Linked DNA regions of Mus musculus. The protein of the gene in region 1 purifies or fractionates together with the protein of each later gene. This does not show direct contact. Links are inferred from orthologs where the notes say so. Each region holds a gene or a part of one and is shown on either strand. Other genes may lie near its edges.

Region 1 (4,113 bases):
TTTCTTGTTGCATAATCTGCTTTCTGACAGTCACTCAATTAAGAACTTCTGGCTTCAAAAAAGTCACTTCAGGTTTTCTTTCTAGTTCTTTTAAGTCAACCATTTCTAGGGATTGTTTATGGATCTTTAGAGATTTTCACTTTTCCCAACCTGAAAAAAATGCTTAAAAATGTTTTCTTTTGGTTGTTAAGAGTTAGTGTTTACATGTACACCTGCATGGTGTTCATGGGCACCACAGAGGTCAGAAGAGGGTCTCAGATTACCTGGAATTGTAGTTAGGGACAATTATGAGCTGTTTCTGGGTGCTAAGAATCAAACCCAGGTCCCTCTAAAAGGACAATAATTACTCTTAACAACTAAGCCATCCCTCCAGTCCCAAGAATGGATTCATCTTTTTTTAAAAGAATTATTTACTTATTTTATGTATATGAGTACACTGTGGCTGTCTTCAGACAAACCAGAAGAGGGCATCGAACCCTATTACAGATGGTTGTGAGCCACCATGTGGTTGCTAGGATTTGAACTCATGACCTCTGGAAGAACTGTCAGTGCTCTTAACCGCTGAGCCATCCCTCCAGCCCGGATTAATCTTTCTTAATGTAAACATTTAGGTTGTGGGTAATGTTTGGTTTGTTTGTTCTTGCACTGAGGAAGCAGGATCTTTTGAATGTAGGCTACTACCCTAGCACTGAGTGCCCTCTTCAGCCTGGAGACTTTGCTGTAGAATAGCTAAGCTGTGTAGACCTCACCTCTTCAATCTCTGCACTTGGAAAAAAATCCCTGTCCAGATTCCATGCAAGTCTATGCTTTTCTTGCTTTGGATTTTTGTTTTGAGATTTTGCTATGCAGTTGTGGCTCCCAAGTGTGTCCGGGTTATAGGCATATACTGTCACTTCCTGCTATGTGTTCACCACACACGCTCTCACAATGCTGGTGCTACAGAGCGGTCACCACCAGGTCCCACCCCTCTTGGTTCCACCAGAGCATCAGGCTGGACTTGCAACATGCTGCATTCTTTAATGATCTAGAAGGGGCCCGCCCTCCCACATACCGCACACTGTGGAATTTTAAATAGAATCATTGCATTCTTACAAATACTTACTGCAAAGAACAGTAAGTCAAATTTCCTACCACAACTGAGGCCTATAGGCCTCCATGTAGAAGATCCCTAACTATGGCATGCTTAGGAGACTCAAGGTTGATCGAGTTTCCTAATGGGGTTTCACTGTCCTATTACAAAGCATTCCAGGCTAATTCTGACCTAAGGCTTTGTCATACCGTATAAAGAGCCTTGGAATTTAAGTAATGCAAAGAATCAAAAACATAGCAGTTTAAATGGTATATAAATTTCTTGTTCTCATGCTTTTTAAAGACATCATTTTTGCAAGTACACCAGATCACCAATAACATAACAGTAGCAGGTAGTAGCAATTCCAACACAACACAGCTGGAAACGGCCTGCAAACTTCATTATAATGCCATCCACTCGGTCACATATTAATATTACTTTATTAACACCTTAATTTTTTTTTACGGGAAGGGGGCTCCACATGTAACAAGGAAAAGCACTCCAGGCCGGGCACATTCAGGTCACAGGGAGATTCCACACCCGGCCACTGAAAGAAAGAGACTGGCTGGCCACTGGCCATGGACCACAGCATGACAGCACGCCACCCAGGGCGGTGCCGGGGAGAGGTGGGGGCTAGAAGGGCGGGGAGGCCTGAGACAAAGCCAGTCGGCTGACCCCCAACACACACACTACCACCACCACCACCTCTTCAGGACCTCAGCAGACAGGCTTTGGGTCCCTTAAGCCCACAGCTGCCATTGGAAGGCCGCCCCCGCCCCGAGGCCCGAGTCAGGGCGGGGCCCTGAACACAGATGGGACAGAAGCCTGAGGGACACAGGAGGGGAGTGGAAGAGAAGGGGCAGGAACAGAAGTCTAGAGTGCAGGCAGAGAGAGCTGAGCCCCAAACCTAGAGGGTCACGGACGAAGAAGGGACAAGGACCTCAACTCAGAGAGGGACAGGCAGAGATAGGACAGGACCCGAACCAGAACAGGAAGGGAAGGGAGAAGAGCCTCAGCCTGGATGTACAGGCAGAGAGATGACGACAAAGACCCCAGCCAGGAGGGGCGCAGCCAGTGACAGGGAAGGGACCCAAAGCAGGGGCGCAGGTAGACAGGGACAAGGACCGCAGATTGGAGGAGCGCAGAGAGGTGACAAGAGACCCGAGCCTAGAAAGGCGCAGGCGGAGAAAGGACAGAAACCCCTGCTGGATGTGCACAGGCTGAGAGAGGACAAGGACCGCAGACTACTGGCGCGCAGGCAGAGGTGACAAGAGACCGGAGCACGGAGGGGCGCGGACGGAGCGGAGAGGAGAGGGAACCCCAGGGTGCAGACAGGGATGGAAAGGCCAGGGAGGGGACTGGGTTCGGGCGGAGGAGCAAAATCGCAGCCTGGAAGGGCCGGGTGCAGATGCGGCGGTGGACGGAAAGGTCCAGAAGCCTCAGCCCGGAGGATGCAGGCGGGAAGGGGTCGCGGCCGCGTCTGGAGCACTGCGCACCAGCCGCGCGGAGCCCGGGGCGGGGCGGGGACCAGGCCGCGCACTCACCGTCCGATCGGGAGAGTCGCGCTCGTCGCGCTGTCACAGGCCGAGGCCGCGCAGAGCCCAGCCGCCTCAGCAGCAAGCGGCGCCTCCGCAGCCGCCCCGCAGCATCCTCACCCTGACCCGCGCTCCGCAGCCTCGCGCCACCCTCCGCCGCCGAAAATGGCGTCGCCGGCGCCGCGCCCGCCCCACAATGCTGTGCGCCGTGACGTCACCCGCCCTCGCGCCGCCGGGCGGGGCTCAGGGGAAACTGAGGCTGGGGTCCGCAGCCCGGAGCTCTCCAGGAGCCTCTCTAATCTGTGTGTGGTGGCCTCAGACCGGGAGGCTTCCCTCGCCGCGCCTCCACCCGTGGAGGACGGGAAGATCGCCAGGCGGCCAGGACCCACCCTCTGCGGCTCGCTCCTGGCCGCAGCTCTCGCTCGACCTCCAGCCTGGCCCAAAGGGCAGGCTTGCCAGCTCAGGTTGCTCCTGAGCCTCGCACAGCCGCCTGGCACCCCAACTGCAGGCCTGACTCAGCAGCGGGTTGGAGGGGACGCTGAGTCAGTGGCAAGGCCGAGCTTGCCTGCCACCGGCTTGGGAACCCTCCAGGTGCCTTTAGACGTTTCCAGAATGGCGCGGTTGTATTACTAACGGGGAGGGGTTGCGAATGCCCACAGCCTCCCCACCTTGGGAAACGCTTCCCTCTTCTGATGGTATTGCCCAGAACCTGCTGCGGTCCTCCACCCTGCACTTATACCTACCAACATCAGGGAGGCAGGTGCTTTTGATCTTAACAAGCAGATCCAGTTACTTTGACCTCCTAGAAAATTCAAAGGCTGGCCAATAAAGGGGCAGCTCCCGTGGGGAGCGCAGCAGCCCATGTTGGCCTAAGGAGAGGCTGTGGGTTCAGTCTTTACTGCAGGCTTCACTTGCCCCAGCACACAAACTGCTGCTTGGATGTTGGGTGTCGCCGGCTCTTCAGCCACTGCCATACATCTGAACAAAGCATATGACGGCCCCTGCCCAGGTGGTGTTGGAAAGAAAAGAGTAGGCTAAGCGGGAGCCCATTTCTTTCCCATGGGTCAATCACTGCCCCTCCGAGTCCTGTATATGCACACACTTCTTCAGCAAGCAAAGGGCTTTTTTGTTTCATCTGTCCCTGCCATTGCTTTGTTCAAGCTTTATCATCTCGTTCTTTTGCCCCTTCAACTGATATCCACTAAGTTCCCAAGGTTCTCACAGGAAGACCCAGGTACATAAAGTGGCAGATGGTGTCTGCTGGCCAGCTCCCATTCCAATGAGAAAAAACAAGCTCAAACAGAATCTGACTTGTTGAAAACAGTAAAATTGCAGGCAGAGTGGTGAGGGAGTGGCACATGACCCAAACTCCAAGGTCAGAAAATTGTGCTGACACACACAGGAAAGAACAGGACCACGGAACCAGCGTAGAACACTCCATTAAATCTTGAGACAGGAGCACCCCTGCTGTGTTGGGGAGGAGGAAAGACCAAGCTAATCAACCCTGCT
Region 2 (3,512 bases), on another chromosome or scaffold:
ACTAAGTGACCAGCAGGAAAAGCTACAATTATCAGCTGTGACTCCCCATCATGGAGGCCCTTGCTAAACGTGAGTTGGGTTGGTGACTGAGATTTGCCTCCCGATACTGCTCCCCGTTCTATCCCTCCCATAATGCAACAGCACAGATACACTGGCAGCCTTTGCCATTGGTCCAGCATGGAAGGAGGCTCTCTGAGACTACCGTGATCTGTAAGTGAGAGTCATCAATGAAATTAGCTAAGGGCATCTAGTGTCTGGAACCTAAAAATAATCCCAAAGCATGCAATTAGGTATTTAAAAATCCTCTCATCATACTTAGGATTTCCGGCAGGAAGGACCTTTAATGGCAAAGCACAGACACGCTTTGAGTTCACTAATGTGTTCCTCAGCTCAGTGTAAGATCTTAGCATAAAAATATCTTTTCTTATTGTTATCAGCAGGAGGTGCCAACGTCCCACAAATCCACTCCATGAGGTCCTGCGAGCCTTTAATCAGCCCCATGTCAGAACTACACTGCTCAACAGCAACATGTGGCTCTAAACATTAACCGTCAAGCACAGACCAGCCTAGCCGTGACTTAAAAGCTTAACCTGGCAGGGCCTGAAACCGCTGCCTTGCAGCTGCCCTAAGGCTACATAAGATTGGGAATTTCTGGTATATAGTCCCCTCTCCTGGATAAAAGTGGTTAGTGATACAGCACACTGGATGTAAATGAATAAAGACTTGACAGTTGGTGCTACAGCAGTGATCTTGCTACGAGGCAAAAGCGTAAAGATATGAAAATGAAAGTAGCTAAGGATGGGCAGAGAGGAAACACAACAGTCGGGTCCTGTGGATTGTGGAGCCACTGCAATGAAACCAAATTGGGTTCTCTAACTTTAATAAGCCACGAGTCATCTTGTTAAAACACAGAGTCCGCTTCAGTATGTCTGAGGTCAGCCTGGGGTCTAAATTGCTAATTAGCCCCAGGTGATGCAGATGACCCTGAGTAACAAGGCCTAGCCTCCTCCTGTTACACATAATTAAGTGTGGTTTACTCTTTCAGCCCCTGCTAGCTGCCTATGACTTTCAGCTGGAAGCTTTCTCAATTCGTACTGCTTGGCTGGAGAATTCTCACTGCATTGGGCTGGGGGGGTGGGGAAGGGTGGGGACTGAGACCTGGCCTGCAGCTTCTCCCAGCTGAGCCCCAGTGTGAGAGCATTGCAGGTAAGGCTAAAGAAAAAAAAAAACAAGCCACACAAAACCAACCAAGACTGGAAGATGCCCCCCAGATCTGAAAGGCAAACTGTTCCTCTCCATCCCCTCCCCCAGCCCCTGCTTCATGCGCCAGCTCTCCTTTTTCAGCATGCGCCAGGTGCAGAGTACAGCCCTGAGCCTCAGGTGCTGCAGAGCTTGACTCGGATCACACCAGTCAGGGTAGGAACAGAGAACACAAGTCTGGCTTACAGTCTTCACATCGTTGGTGCCAATAATTCCGCCTATCTCCCCCAGGTCCTTGAGAAGCAGGTTCAGGATCTCTGTGGCCCTCTTTTTCTGGTGGTTACTAAGCTCTTGCAGCTGACTCAGCTCTCGCTGGGTGGTTGTCAGTGTCGTCTGGAAAACAAAGTCAGCCACAGGTTACCAAGGTGGCCCATGAATTTCCACCTGTGACCTCCAGAGCTCAACAGCCCATGCCAGACCCAGCTCTTTAATCACTCCTCTGATCTCAGTGGAAAAGCACTCTGAAGGCTGACTGCTGCGTAGCACTTGGTTCTGATACAGAAACTTAATTCAGAGATGTTACCTTGTAAAACCAGCTATGTATTATTACTAGATATGTATTATTATTATTATTATTGGTTATATCGACGCTAGCAAAGTGAGTTACTGTAAATGAATTCAGGGCCCAGAGCAGGGCTCACTGGGTCAAGGTAAGAACTGACTCCAGCAAACTGTCCTCTGACCTCCACCCAGGTACCATGGTACGTGAACATAAAAATAAGTAAATTGTAGTAAGGCCTTTTAAATAAATAAGAGGTTGGAGAGAGAGCTCCGTCTGTAAGGTGCTTGGGGCACAAGCATAAGGACCTAGGTTTGAATCCTGGAAGCTCTATCTGGGTCTGGTGGTGCGCCATTGTTATCCCAGGACTGGAAGGATTCCTCTGGCCATTGGACAACAATCTACCATACTCAGTGAGTTCCAAAACAATGAGACTGTCTCAAAATAAAAAGACAGAGCACACTTTAAAGAAGGATGCTGAGGGCTGACTTGGTCTCTACCTGTACACACTGGCGCAAAAAGAGGCCCTACGTTTATAGGATTTAACTACATTTTCTAACTTACCAAAGGTTGTTTCTTCCCCCTTGTTCTATTTCAGGTTCCCCAGCTCCATGCTCAAACAAAAATCTCCTCCCTGGGTCCCATCCAAATACCCTGAGTAATGGGGTCTGGAATCAATAGCCCAGACAAACACTAATGAGGATAGGTAACAACTTAGAACATCTTCTAGTCCTCAGGGAAGCCAAATTAAATACTATAATTCTTCAGAATTACTCAGGTTCCATAGCAGAGCTTCTTCATAGCAGCAAAAGCTCGATTTTCTCACCAAACTTCATCAAATTAACCTCTTTTCTATCCCCCCACCCCGATTGTTAGCAGGAGAAGCAATGCCTTCTTCAGGCGCAGCACTGGAATCGTAGCTCTTCTAGCATCTTGGTACCAACAGCCTGTGCTGCAGAAGGAAGTCCTCTCCTCCCCGGGCCTTGCAAGTTAATTCAAAGGCATTTTCAGTGAGTCGCTACCACTTACTAAAAATAGTATATTAAAGCAGTCTGATAATAGTTGTTCTGACACAAAACGAGAAGCGTACTATAGAAAATCTTGCCTTGCTTTCAGATGTACAACACAGAAGGGACACGCTGTAGGAACCCAGGGGGACACTGAGTAGAGGCAGAGTGGCAGTCCTCTCTCAGTGAGTCTGCAGGGACTTACAGTCCATCAGCACTGCCAACTATTTGTTTCACCTTATTTAATACCACAGACATAGCAGCCCTGTCCCATGGAAACCATTAGGAAGGCCTTTCTTCCCCGATGCAGTAGGATGTGGGGAGTAAATAGTACTTCCTGTCCGCTCCACTGCCAGCAGCCAGTGCTTTCCTCCCCACCCTGCTCTGAGTGCCCGGGACTGATGTTTCTATTAAGGTAGTATGGCACAGTCCAGGACACCAGGTCCTTCAGGCAGAGCCACCAAGGACACCAGGCTACAGCAACTCAATTTCTCTGTGAGCCATCTCCAGGCAGCAAAGGGCATGGCATCCGCCACATCACCAAATGCTCACCGGCCACAGCAGACTACCTGTCACTAGCCCACCAAGTAAAACCCACAACAGCTGTCTCTCAGGGAGGAACCAGAAATACAGCGATCCCTCGGCTGGAAGCCAGTGAACAGGGCCAGCTTACCTCTGTCCTTCCGACTAGGACAAGAGGGTGGGAAGTCGGGGAACACTGTCATTCAGCAGGATGTAAACTGTGG
Region 3 (3,512 bases), on another chromosome or scaffold:
ACTCGGGGAGACAACGAGAAGGTCCAGCGGGAGCTTAGCCACCTGCAGTCCGAGAACGATGCTGCGAAGGACGAGGTGAAGGAAGTGCTGCAGGCCCTAGAGGAGCTGGCGGTCAACTACGACCAGAAGTCCCAGGAGGTGGAGGAGAAGAGCCAGCAGAACCAGCTGCTGGTGGACGAGCTGTCCCAGAAAGTGGTGAGTGGCCGGCGAGGGGCCCGGGGGCCCTCACAGCGCCTCTGCCTCCCTCCACTGCTGTCTGACGTTGCCCCCTGCGCTGTTGCTGCTGCGTGTGTCGAGACATCCTCCCCCGCCCGCCCTGCCTCTGCAATCTGCCCTTCTCTCTTCCAGAGGCTTCTGCAGGGTCTGTGTTCTCCCCATAGCAGCCCTCAGAGTCTTACATGACATGCGAGGCTCTGCTCAAGCTGGGAAGGGGAGCAGGAGGCTGGTAATGGTAATGACCTTAGGGGCTGTCCCTAGGCCACCATGCTGTCCCTGGAGTCCGAGCTACAGCGGCTCCAGGAGGTCAGTGGACACCAGCGAAAGCGGATCGCTGAGGTGCTGAATGGGCTGATGAGGGACCTGAGTGAGTTCAGTGTCATCGTGGGCAACGGCGAGATTAAGCTGGTGAGTGGGACGGAGGGCGGTGCCATCCAGGTGACATTAGCAGGGTCTAGAGGTGACAGAGGGTAGAACTGACATGCAAATCTGTGTGTAAGAACGTGACCTATTGGGATCGCCGGGCAGGACCAGATTACCCACATAAGAAAGTCCCTCGGGGTGCCGAGGTGAGCAGCTGTGGTCCCCGCCCTTCTGTAGGGTGAGACAGGCTTCAAGTCAGGGGTTCGAGACTAGCAAGGATGATGAAGCAAACAAAGACAAGACTCAGTGGTTTTCAAGGCAGACGGGAGAACTATCAGCATCTGAATGTGAATAGAGGCTTTGAAGTGAGATGCTAGTTAGTAGGAGCCGTGTCTCAGTCAGGGTTACCGCTGCTGTGGTGAAACCCTGTAACCAAAGCAACCTGAGGGGGGAAGGGTCTGTTACGGATCTCAGTCCACTGAGGGAACCTGGAAGCAGGAGCTGAAGCAGAGGCCATGGAGGGGCGCTGCTTACTGGCTTGCTCAGCCTGCTTTCTTATAGCGCCCAGAACCACCAACCCAACCGTAGGCTGGACCCTCCTGCATTGATCACTATTTGAAAAAAAAAAAAAATGTCCTGCAGGCTTGCTGACAGTCTGGTATTATGAGGGCATTTTCCCAATTGAGGCTCCGTCCTCTCAGATGATGCTGGCGTGTGTCAAGCTGACACAGAACTAGCCAGCACAAACTGCTCGAAGGTGTTGATGAGTTCCCAGCTTCCTTGAGTACCCGAGAAGGAGAGCGAGTCAGATGGGGAGGGGGAGGGATGCAGGTAAGGGCTTCCCGCCTCAGAGAAGCAGCTCTCCCTCCTCTGCCCACCCTCAGCCCGTGGAGATCAGTGGGGCCATCGAGGAGGAGTTCACGGTGGCCCGGCTCTACATCAGCAAGATCAAGTCGGAGGTGAAGTCCGTGGTTAAGCGATGTCGGCAGCTGGAGAACCTCCAGGTGGAGTGTCATCGCAAGATGGAGGTGACCGGTAGGGAGCTGTCATCTTGCCAACTGCTCATCTCACAGGTGAGCGTCTGAGGATGGGAGCCATAGCATGAGAACAGCTGTTCTGGGGTGATGGATAAACTCCCAACAATGGAGATCAAGGTCTGAAGAACTAGGGGGACAGGGAAGAGGATCCAGGCATGAAGTTTAGGGGGCATTGACCTTTGACCCCATTGCCTAAAGGAAGGGTCTCTATAGGATCATGGCCTTTAACCTCACAGAGGCTATGAGGGAAGGCGTGGGAGGATAGCTGCAGTTTATAGTGAAAGATCATTTATACCTCTGTCTCCTTGATGCCATCCACCCCTCTCCTCCCCCACCAGCATGAGGCCAAGATCCGTTCACTCACGGAGTACATGCAGACTGTGGAGTTGAAGAAACGGCACCTGGAAGAGTCCTACGACTCCCTGAGCGATGAGCTTGCCAGGCTCCAGGCGCACGGTGAGGCTCCTTGGATCTGAGGTCCCAGAGGGACCCCTAGGACAGTCACACACACTGGAGGAAATGGCCGGACAGCTCCTCACTTAGCATCAGCTTGAGTCCTGGGTTGTCGGCTCACGTGCTTCTCCTCATGTAGCCTGGCCTCTGCACGTCGCTCATTTTACTCGAATCCTAGACCCTCTGTTCTTCCTCACCCCTGACAAGGCAAATTGGACTGTCCCAAACCAGAACGTCCCTATGCGCCCATCCCCTGGGACCTGAGCTGGTGTCATGGAAGCTGTCTTCCTCCCTTTCACTTAGAAACTGTACACGAGGTAGCTCTGAAAGACAAGGAGCCAGACACACAGGACGCGGAGGAGGTGAAGGTGAGCTGGGGAGGTGTGGAATGGCTGTCTGGCAGGGCAGGGGCTGTGCTGACTGTCAGCCTAGGGGTCTGGCTCTGAGCACGGGGTTGTGCTCTCTGCAGAAGGCCCTGGAACTACAGATGGAGAATCACCGTGAGGCCCATCACCGGCAGCTGGCCCGCCTCCGGGATGAGATTAATGAGAAACAGAAAACCATTGATGAGCTGAAAGAGTAAGGGGCGGGGCTTAGAGGTGGCTCCAGTGTGTCTGTCAGTCCCCTCATCTTGTTGTGGCCACTCCAGCGATCCTTCTGGATCTTTAATGTCCTCAACAGTGACACGCCTTGAGGCCCAAACTTGAGAGACACGAGAAGGGCTGGAGAGGTGGCTCTGTAGTTTGAGAGCACTGGCTTGCTTTTCCAGAGAACCTGAGTTTGATTCCTAGCAACCACGTGGTGGCTCGCAACCGTCTGTAACTCCAGTCCCAGGGGATCTGACTGCCTCTTCTGGCCTCCTTGGGTACCAGGCACACAGACATACTCGCAAGCAAAACACCCATACACATAAAAAATTAATTAAAAGACACAAGTAGTTAGGATTAGACCTGTCCTTGGAACTTTTATGATTGCAGTACTCGGGGTCCCATGTTGCCATGAAAGTGGTAGCCGACGTGTATCCCCGATAGAGCCAGTGTGTATCCCTGATATCTGAAGTCGGGTGCATCAGGGCTGGTGTGAGGGGCGGGGCTTCCTCCCCCCCCCCCCCATTGAGTGTCTCTTTATGTCCCACCCTCCCCAGCCTGAACCAGAAGCTCCAGTTAGAGCTGGAGAAGCTTCAGGCCGACTATGAGAGGCTGAAGAATGAAGAGAACGAGAAGAGCGCCAAGCTCCAGGAGCTGACGTGAGTGACACACCTACCAGCAGACATGTGCAGATGCGGGATGCATGGGGGGCCTCTGTGGGGAGAGTCACAGGATGCAAGCATGAAAGGGTGGAGAGAGGGAAAGACACCAGCAAAAAGAATTGCCAGGCCAGCTGTGGTGGTGCACGCCTTCAATCCCAGCACTTGGGAGGCAAGGTAGGCGGATTTCTGAGTTC
Region 4 (4,162 bases), on another chromosome or scaffold:
AGACATCTTTGGGAGGAGTGCTGGGGCGTGGTCTAGAGGTGGGGACAGGTCAGGAAACAAAGGACAGAGAGGAGAGTTTCCGTTACAGTTTGCTTTGACCCTGTCTCGGTAGGTCGGTTGGTCTGCGCACAGGTCACCGTACCTCTCCTCACAGCTGTTGAAGGTCTTCCTGTAGCGTCAAGTCCAAATCCTCTGTCCTGCCGTGTCCAGGCACCTCAGTCTACCTCTGTGGGCTTCTTGCCCAAACTTTCCTAAACAATGCTCTCTCTCCACAGGCCATACTCCACCCAGCCTGGAGGGCTGTCCGCCTTCCTCACCCTCTCCCCAAGCTGGCCCACCAGCACCCCATCCTCTCTCAAACACGCCCTGGACATCGCTGGCGACTCTTCCAACAGTGGCCGAAATAACTGTTGCAGGGCTGTTGAGGTTTGTGTTGTGGGTGTCTCCCTAATGAGGCCACCCTGCCCTCCAGGGCTGATGACTCTCAGTTGTTTGACCTGAGAAGGCATTTCACTTTCCTCAGCTGCAACACAGTGTGCTCACCGAAGCCCACCGTGACTCTGTCAGCCCTCTCCTCTAGAATAGGGCAGTGTGTGTGTGTGTGTGTGTGTGTGTCTGTTTGTCCATCCAGATTACAGGAGACATACAAGGAAAAGGGACAGACTCCAGAGAACCCTGCAGAGAACCCCAGAAAGGGCCCTTCTTTTGACTCTCCATATTCCTAAAGGGTACTTAGCATCTTCTTTATCGCGCTACAAGGCTATAAATAAGCGACAAAAGGTTTCTACGGTAAATCAGGAGTCCCTGGAGACAAAAGTCCCTTTCCAAACCCCCAGACTGGAGCTGGAGAACAAGTACAGCCACCCTAGGCTTTTACCAAACTCACTGGGATGAGTTGTGTCCCTGCAACCTTTCCTGAGCCCACAAGCTTTGCTCATCACCTCCACTCGGCAGAGGAGGTCACCGAGGTGCTTGGAGGTGACACCGCTTGGATGAAGTGGCCGGGTGCTGGAGCTCTGAGGCCCTAGGATCTGCAGTAGGACAAGTCCTTAGGTTCGGAAACCAAGGAGCGGATCCCCAGGTGCCTTGGGGGGCTTCCAGGTGCAGCGTCCAGGGGCGCGCGCGAGGAGGAGGAGTGGATGCTCCGGGTTGGCCGCGGGCAGGGGGCGCGTCCAGCGGGTCCCTCCCGGTTGCTCCCGGGCCAATCTTCCTCGGCGCGTCCCCGCAGGCGCGCACCCAGGGCTCAGCCTGTGGGCTCGCGCACCCGCGGAGCGGGGAGCGTGCGCGCGCGCTCTCCCTCCCCGCCCCGCCCGCCGCCACCCCGCCCCCGGCCGGGTACCCTCGCCGGACCCGAGAGAGAGCGCCGCCGCCATCTTAGCCGCCGCCGCCTCCAGCGCAGCGCTGCCGACGAGGGGAGGGCGCGCGCGGCCCAGCAGCACGGCGGCTGCCGTTCCCATCCCGGTGCTCGCCGCGCCGCCCAGCCGCCGGCCCCCGGCTGCCCGCGCCCCTCTCGGCGTCCCGCGCGACTCCCTGCTGCTTCCGCGTCGGGCCGGCCGTGGCGCCCCGAGCCCGAGCGATGCTGCGCCGCCCTGCGCCCGCGCTGGCCCCGGCCGTCCGGCTGCTGCTGGCGGGGCTGCTGTGCGGCGGCGGGGTCTGGGCCGCGCGAGGTAAGCGACGGGGCGCGGTGAGCCGGGTGCGGGAGTCAGAACCGAGTGCAAGGTTGGGCCGAATGCAGAAGTCATGCGGGGCCGCGGGGTTCGGGTCGGGGCCGGGTGCGGGAACCGTGCTCGGGTGCAAGGTGGGGGGCTGAGTGCGAGGGTCATGCGGGGCGGCGGGGTTATGGGCAAGTGCTGCAGTCCTGTAGGGCCTCTGGGTTCTGGGCCGAGTGCGGGACTCGTGCCAGAGCCCAGGGTTCGGGTCCTAGTGCGCGCATTGTATCAGGCAAGGTTCGGGTCCGAGTGTGGGGATCGTGCCGAGGCCCAGGGTTCGGATACGAGTGCGCGAGTCATATTGGGCAAGGTTGGGTCCGAGTTCGGGCATAGTAACCGGGTGCAAGGAGGTGGGCAGAGTGCAGGAGTCGTGCAGGGCCGCGGAATTTGGGTCCGAGTGTGGGAATTGTGCCAGGGCTGAGGGTTCAGGTCCGAGTGCGCGCGTCGTATTGGGCGAGGCTCGGATCCCGGTGCGCAGATCGTCTCCAGCAAGGTTCGGGGCCCAGATCGTATCAGGTGCACAGGTACAGGACCCAGTGCAGGAATAGTGTCAGCGCACAGGGATCGGTGCCGAGTGAGGTAGTGTTGCTGGGGCGCGGGGTTCCGACCCGACTGTGTGACTGATTGCCTGGGAGCGGGGCTCTGGGCTGAGTGCGGAACATCGAGCCCGCTCGCTACGTGAGATTCAGGTTCAGGCGCTCAGAGAAGAGCTCCGGAGAACCTAGGCGCGCGCTGCAGATGCCTGGGGAAGCCAATTTTGTACCCGGGCGGGGCACCTGGGCCATGACTGCCCTAGTTGTAGCCCCAGGGTGCTTGAGGTGCTGGTCTGGGGAGATCTGGGGACACGCGGTGGGAGTTAGCCCACTTTCCAGTAGCGCATGCAGCCTGGGGGGTGCGCCCCTGGGTGGGATGCAGTGTACGTGTGTTGGATGATCAGCCCAGGGATGCACGCAAGGATTTTGGTGTGTGCTTACATAAGATTCCACTCCTCCGCATCACTTTCCCAAGATCCCGGTTCTCTGCTGCGGCTAGGTGGACACCACGACTTCGCCCCTTTTCGCCTCCTCTCCGCGTCCTTTAAACGCGGTTTCGGAAGTAACAGAGGCGAAAACTCCTCTTCCTTCCCACCCTTTTGCCCAAAGACGAAATTGAGAAGGTGTTTGTGATCACTTTTCATCCACCAGTGTGAACAAAGCGCTCGTCCGCTGCACCTTTACTCAGAGTAGTGTACCGGACTTGTATGACCACCACAGAGACCAGCCAGCCCCGCTAATTCCTTAGGAGTGTGGGAGGCAAATAGGATTTTGCTGTTTTAAATCTTCATCCACTTCATCTAAACATTGTACCTGCCTTCTGATATTGACCGAGCTTGCCACCAAAACTGCTTACGCATTGCAGATAAAGCCTTCTGAATGGAACTTGAAACCGTAAACATTTTTCCTGGTCTTAAAGTAGTCTAGGTAGATAGTCTGTAGAGAGTGCTCGAATCTATTTTCTTCAAGTGTATATTTTGGAAATCAAAAGAGCTTTGTGGGAGGAGGATTGATAGAAGTCTGGGTGAGATGGTCACGTAATAACTTTGCAAGCTTTAAAAAAAGATTGCCTTTTCTGCTTGGCCTGACTTAGGAAAGTTGTGTTCACAAAAAAGGGCAGAAGAGGGCAAAGCATCCTTTGTTCCAGCGTGCCACACAGAGGGTGATAAACTGAAAACTTCTTTTATTCCATCTAGAACATTCTGTCCATTCTTGTCAAATTCAGCTCCTTGCCACTAAGTATCTAATTACCGTGCATTTGATTTTTTTTTTTGAAAAGTTTCAGCAAACCAAGTATGAAATGAGGTTTGAAGCCTGGTCTATTTAAGAGGAAGAAAACTTGGTTTTGCTTCTTTTGGAAAAAAAAACCAGCCCATACATGAAAGGAGGGGAGGGCTGGGTTGGGTATTTTGGAAACAGTTCAAGTAATGTTTAGTTGAGTTGGTAATAGCATCGCCTGCTTGAATTACTGCTTTTAAGGTGTCTTCCTGCATCTACCTACAGTACTGCTCATCTTTTAGTTACTTGGGTAAACCATGGTCAGGCTCACCTGATTACCCTCATTATGGCTGAGAGGAATGTGAAATTTCCAACGTCTTACAAAGTAAAAATGTTTGAACATCAGTTTTTCTTTTGCATTTACCGTTTTTTTTCCAGCTTGCATGGTCATGAATATTCCATGACATGCTAATAAAACAATTTCAGTTTGAAATGTTACAAATGAGTTTTATATGTAAATATGCGGTTTCTGGAGGCACTTTCCCTGGGCTCATTATTCCAGTGAACATCTGAGTCCTCCCTGCAACGTTGGTGCTGGGGACGGAGCCCAGGGCCCGAAGGCTGGACAGGCATCTGCTCCTGAGCCACACTGCCCCTTCAGCATTCCCGTTTGTTTCTTGTTGCAAGATGGAATGGCATAAA
Region 5 (4,188 bases), on another chromosome or scaffold:
TTCAATTCTATCCAAAGTCCACACTTCCAAGGCCTGTGATAATGCCCCTGTTTTCTTTATTTCTAAGATTCTCCACTGTTCCCCTGCAATTGTGCTCTTCTCCATTGCAGAAAGCCAATCAAGCTGGATCTATTTGTTTCTAGAGGTGCTAGAATGTTCCAGCAAATTCAGGGGTCAGGGAGGTGTCCATAGTCCCACCATTCATTTACCCAGCAAAGTCTGGAAGCCAGAAGAAAGGTTTCTTATCGTCACTGAAGTTTTTCCTTGCAGAACCTCAGAGCCATTTCCACATAGAGTTTTTGTGGTATTTATCTTCTGAAAAGGGAATGCTAAGTCATCTATTTTTGAAGTGCAGGGGGTGGTTGAAGCCAGGGCCTCCTGCTTTCTAAGCAAACACACTACCAGAGTTCCAACTCTAGCCCCAGGAGTGGTTTTCTCAGATATGTCACCCGCACGTATTAATCTAGGTCAGTGGTCTTTAACCCTCCGAATGCTGAGACCATTAATATGCTTCATGTTATGGTGATCCCCAAGCATGAAATTATTTCGCTGCTATTTCGTAACTGTAATTTTGCTACTGTTATGAATAGTAATATAAAAAAATCTGATATGCGATTCCCAAAGAGGTTGTGACCCACAGGTTGTGAACAGGTGATCTAGGCCTTTAAAGACACTCGTAAGGATCTGGTGCTGCAACACCATTCCTTTGGTGTTGCAGCTAAGTGAAGTTTCCCATTGGTCGGAGAAGTGGGACCTCAGATTTACCAAATACCTTTGGGCTCCTGTGGCTCACCTGTGTGATGTCAAGCCCTGGGCAGCTAGAGGAGACACATGAGGGTAGGTTCTTCTTCCATCCCACCTAGCTGTTCCGTATCGCTTGGGAAACTTTTTCATTGCTTGAAAGAAGCTTCCCCTTTCTCTGCTTTGTCTGAATAAAGCTCCCAGGCTCGCAGGGCGGGGTGCATTACTGCTGCACCCCGGCCATGCCCCACCCTTAACTCAAATCTCCCCGGTTTTGGCAAAGCGATTTAAAACAGAAACAAAATAAAACCCAAGGTTGCATCAGTAATCTTTCTTTTTTTTTTCTCTAAGGCCAAAATGAAAGCCCCTTTTTTTTTTTTTTTAGGGATCTGGCCTTATACAAAATTGAACACCACCATTAAGTGGTTAAAACAAACTCCTCCAAAGAAAAAGATAAGTAAACCTTCCGATGCTCTGAGGAATTCTGCAGCGGCCTTGGCGCTACTCAACTTGCAGGAAAACTCGATCTGAAGCCCCAAACCTGCAGCTGAGGTGGAGCCAGGCAAAGCCTGCGGCCCGGCGCGGGCAAGGATTGGCTGCTGGGCATCGCCCCGCGCCTGCGCAGTGTTCCTCCCGCCCGCCCAGTTTGCCGCCGGCCTGGGCACTAAGGCCTTTGGAGGGTGCGCGCGTCAGCTGGCCGGGAAGCCGGCGAGCTGCCGGGACAGGATAGTGGGCCGAGCCCTAGGCCTCGGCTGTCCTTCCCGAAAAGAAAAGAAGGAGCCGCTCGCCAGTCCCCGCAGCCTGTGGAGGCCGGTGAGGGAGACGCCGAGGAGCATCGAGGCTCTGTGGGCGCCGCCGCCTTGGCCGCCATGATGGAGCGGAAGTGAACTTCGGGCGCAGGCTGCCGGCGACAGCGCTTCGGTCTAGCTGCCCGGGGTGCACGGCGCTGCGGAGCCCGGACCTTCCGGTCCTCGCGACCCCTGCCTCTTGGCTCCCCTCGCTTACCCCAAGACTGAGCGGCTTGAAGAGGCGCCCGGCCTGCGGTCCCGGCTTCCAGAAAGATGGCGGACCCGGCGGAGTGCAACATCAAAGTGATGTGTCGCTTCAGACCTCTCAACGAATCTGAAGTGAACCGCGGCGATAAGTACGTCGCCAAATTCCAGGGAGAAGACACGGTGATGATCGCGGTGAGTGGCCCCTGTCCCCATGTCACGTGGGGTCGGGCAGGACGGTGAGCTCTGGGACATGGCCGGTCGCAAAGCCCAGAGGGAGCAGGGAGTGCTCGCTCTCCCGAGCCGGGTTTGCGGGTTCAGACGACCAGGGAGGAAGGAGCAGTGTTCAGGAGACTCCGCGACGATTCGAGGATCACCCCCACCCCAGTACTAAGCTTGGCAGCTGGGAGGTGTCTTGTTTCTCATTCTGGACACTCCCCCACCTGGGGCTCTGGAGGCTGCATCCCAGGAGCTAGTTTAGTGCACGCTCATCCGTGTGTGTGTGTGTGTTTGTGTTTCTTAAATGTTCTCCCTCTCAACTTTTCATGTAATAAGTGGGAAATTGGAGCCTGTAAAAAGAACTAGTGGCTTTTCTTTGAAATTAGAGTTCTCTCTAATGTCATAAGTGGATTTAGATTGGGCCAAATAAGTGTCAGAAAGATCTAGAATTTCATTCTTTACCGTGTTTTAACATTGTAGGAAAGATAGCTATAGCCGAGACATAGTGTTGTAAAGACCTTACAATGGGGCTTGAATCACCATTATTAGATTCATGTTAATACAGTCTATCTTGACAGAAATTGATTATGGTAATCTGAGAGGAAGCAATACTCCTTTGTAGTGGAAAATGTAACTGAGCTGATTGATTATTATTTGAGAAACTTGAAAGGGTTTTTTATATCTAGCATTGCAGGTTCTCTGAAAACAGCATTTTGAGCTCAAGATTAAAAGTGACTGGATAAGATTGCCTCAGTATACAGAACATCGAGCTAAACTAACAAGTAAATTCATCATTAGTGATGATGCCATGGGTATTGCTATTAGGATTCAATTGTTAATGTCAGTTGTTACTCGAAATTGTTTGTTCTTGAGTAGTAATCTATATTTAGTATATTGTTTGAGCTACTTAATTTAGAAATAGGGCAGAGAGGTCACAGGAGACTGGCCATTGATGAGTGAAAACATTTTAGCCTGAAGATAGTACTGAAGTTCTCTAGAGGGTGTGTTAATGTGAAGGTTTTCAAAGTTGAGTTTTCGGAAATTGAATGTGTTAGTAGTGTATCCTCCCGGTAGGGTTTTGGTAGAAAAAAAACTATTACTGCTGTGTGAAGACTATCAGGCCAGTTCTTTGGGGGGTGTTTTGTTTCGTTTTGTTTTTTTCTTTTTCTTTTTCGAGACAGGATTTCTCTGTATAGTCCTAGCTGTCCTGGAACTGGACCAGGCTGGTCTTGAACTCAGAAATCCGCCTGCCTCTGCCTCCTGAGAGTCGGGATTCAAGGCCTGTGCCACCACTGCCCAGCCAGTTCTCTGTTAGTAAGTCCTCAAGGTGCTCTTGTAGTAAAGAAGGGATGTTAATTGAGCATAGGAATCCTGTTCTTTAGTGCACAGAGGATAGAGTGGAAGGTGGTTGGGTGTATGTTGTGCCTGCACTCCTTACCGGGTTTCAACTCCACTATTAGTCCCCAAATTTGAGGCTACTTATTCCTTCCCATCTATGATTATGCAGCTTTAGCTATACTTCATTTGTCACTTGTATTAAGATGGTCTTAATTCTCTGAGTTTTTGTGCTTGTTTTAAAAAAATTGTAAATATTGCTAAGATTTGTTTTGCTTGGAATGCCAGATTTCAGGATTTACAAAATATATTAAGTTGTGGTGGCTTACATACTTGTAATCATAGCACTGGTGAGCCTGAGACAAGAGGGTAGTGGCCATAATATATGAAACAAAAGATAGACCACTACAGAAAACACATTTATTTTAGGTCCTTTCCTTTGGAAAAAGTTGCCATAATTTCTGTTTCAAAATTTCTGTAAGTAATACAAATAAGTTTAAGTGATGAATAGAAACTTAGGGTAGATGATGAAATGACTTAAATGTGTTTGTTTATAATGTCAACTGAATGGTAATCATAATCACTGTTCAGATAGAAAATAATTAAGGAGTCTGCTTTTCTTCTAAGTTTAGCTTTTAATATTCTGTCCAAAATTTTTCCTGTTATCCTCAGAACCAATTTTAATAAAACATTTCTTGGACATGGAGACTTTCATTTCGTTCCTTAAATCCCTGTATAAGTCACCAAATAGGCTTTTAAAATTCACTAAAACTTGAACACAGAGACAAAAGCATATAATACAGATAATACATGTAAGAAATCAATTCCTAAAATAGGGATGAGATATATTAAATATCTTCTTAGTGTCCCCAGTGTTTCCTGTGGCTTTATAATAATGTTC

What was found.
Region 2: the proteins of Klc1 (region 1) and Kif5c purify together in Homo sapiens (co-immunoprecipitation; 4 studies listed by BioGRID and IntAct, counting the BioPlex papers as one, with this or other methods). This does not show direct contact. The link is inferred for Mus musculus from reciprocal best matches to the Homo sapiens genes KLC1 and KIF5C.
Region 3: the proteins of Klc1 (region 1) and Kif5a purify together in Homo sapiens (co-immunoprecipitation; 7 studies listed by BioGRID and IntAct, counting the BioPlex papers as one, with this or other methods). This does not show direct contact. The link is inferred for Mus musculus from reciprocal best matches to the Homo sapiens genes KLC1 and KIF5A.
Region 4: the proteins of Klc1 (region 1) and Clstn1 purify together in Homo sapiens (co-immunoprecipitation; 3 studies listed by BioGRID and IntAct, with this or other methods). This does not show direct contact. The link is inferred for Mus musculus from reciprocal best matches to the Homo sapiens genes KLC1 and CLSTN1.
Region 5: the proteins of Klc1 (region 1) and Kif5b purify together in Homo sapiens (co-immunoprecipitation; 11 studies listed by BioGRID and IntAct, counting the BioPlex papers as one, with this or other methods). This does not show direct contact. The link is inferred for Mus musculus from reciprocal best matches to the Homo sapiens genes KLC1 and KIF5B.

The regions. Positions count from the first base shown.
Region 1 is NC_000078.6:111,757,543-111,761,655, reverse strand, and holds the start of Klc1 (kinesin light chain 1), read right to left. Parts: upstream 2,808-4,113; 5' UTR 2,614-2,807; intron 1-2,613. UniProt on the Homo sapiens protein: Kinesin is a microtubule-associated force-producing protein that may play a role in organelle transport. The light chain may function in coupling of cargo to the heavy chain or in the modulation of its ATPase activity.
Region 2 is NC_000068.7:49,730,785-49,734,296, reverse strand, and holds part of Kif5c (kinesin heavy chain), read right to left. Parts: intron 1,594-3,512; coding exon 1,447-1,593; intron 1-1,446. UniProt on the Homo sapiens protein: Microtubule-associated force-producing protein that may play a role in organelle transport. Has ATPase activity. Involved in synaptic transmission. Mediates dendritic trafficking of mRNAs.
Region 3 is NC_000076.6:127,235,857-127,239,368, reverse strand, and holds part of Kif5a (kinesin heavy chain), read left to right. Parts: coding exon 1-195; intron 196-477; coding exon 478-624; intron 625-1,463; coding exon 1,464-1,652; intron 1,653-1,954; coding exon 1,955-2,072; intron 2,073-2,372; coding exon 2,373-2,437; intron 2,438-2,538; coding exon 2,539-2,648; intron 2,649-3,213; coding exon 3,214-3,315; intron 3,316-3,512. UniProt on the Homo sapiens protein: Microtubule-dependent motor required for slow axonal transport of neurofilament proteins (NFH, NFM and NFL). Can induce formation of neurite-like membrane protrusions in non-neuronal cells in a ZFYVE27-dependent manner.
Region 4 is NC_000070.6:149,585,106-149,589,267, forward strand, and holds the start of Clstn1 (calsyntenin-1 isoform 1 precursor), read left to right. Parts: upstream 1-1,362; 5' UTR 1,363-1,576; coding exon 1,577-1,667; intron 1,668-4,162. UniProt on the Homo sapiens protein: Postsynaptic adhesion molecule that binds to presynaptic neurexins to mediate both excitatory and inhibitory synapse formation.
Region 5 is NC_000084.6:6,238,722-6,242,909, reverse strand, and holds the start of Kif5b (kinesin-1 heavy chain), read left to right. Parts: upstream 1-1,385; 5' UTR 1,386-1,802; coding exon 1,803-1,928; intron 1,929-4,188. UniProt on the Homo sapiens protein: Microtubule-dependent motor required for normal distribution of mitochondria and lysosomes. Can induce formation of neurite-like membrane protrusions in non-neuronal cells in a ZFYVE27-dependent manner.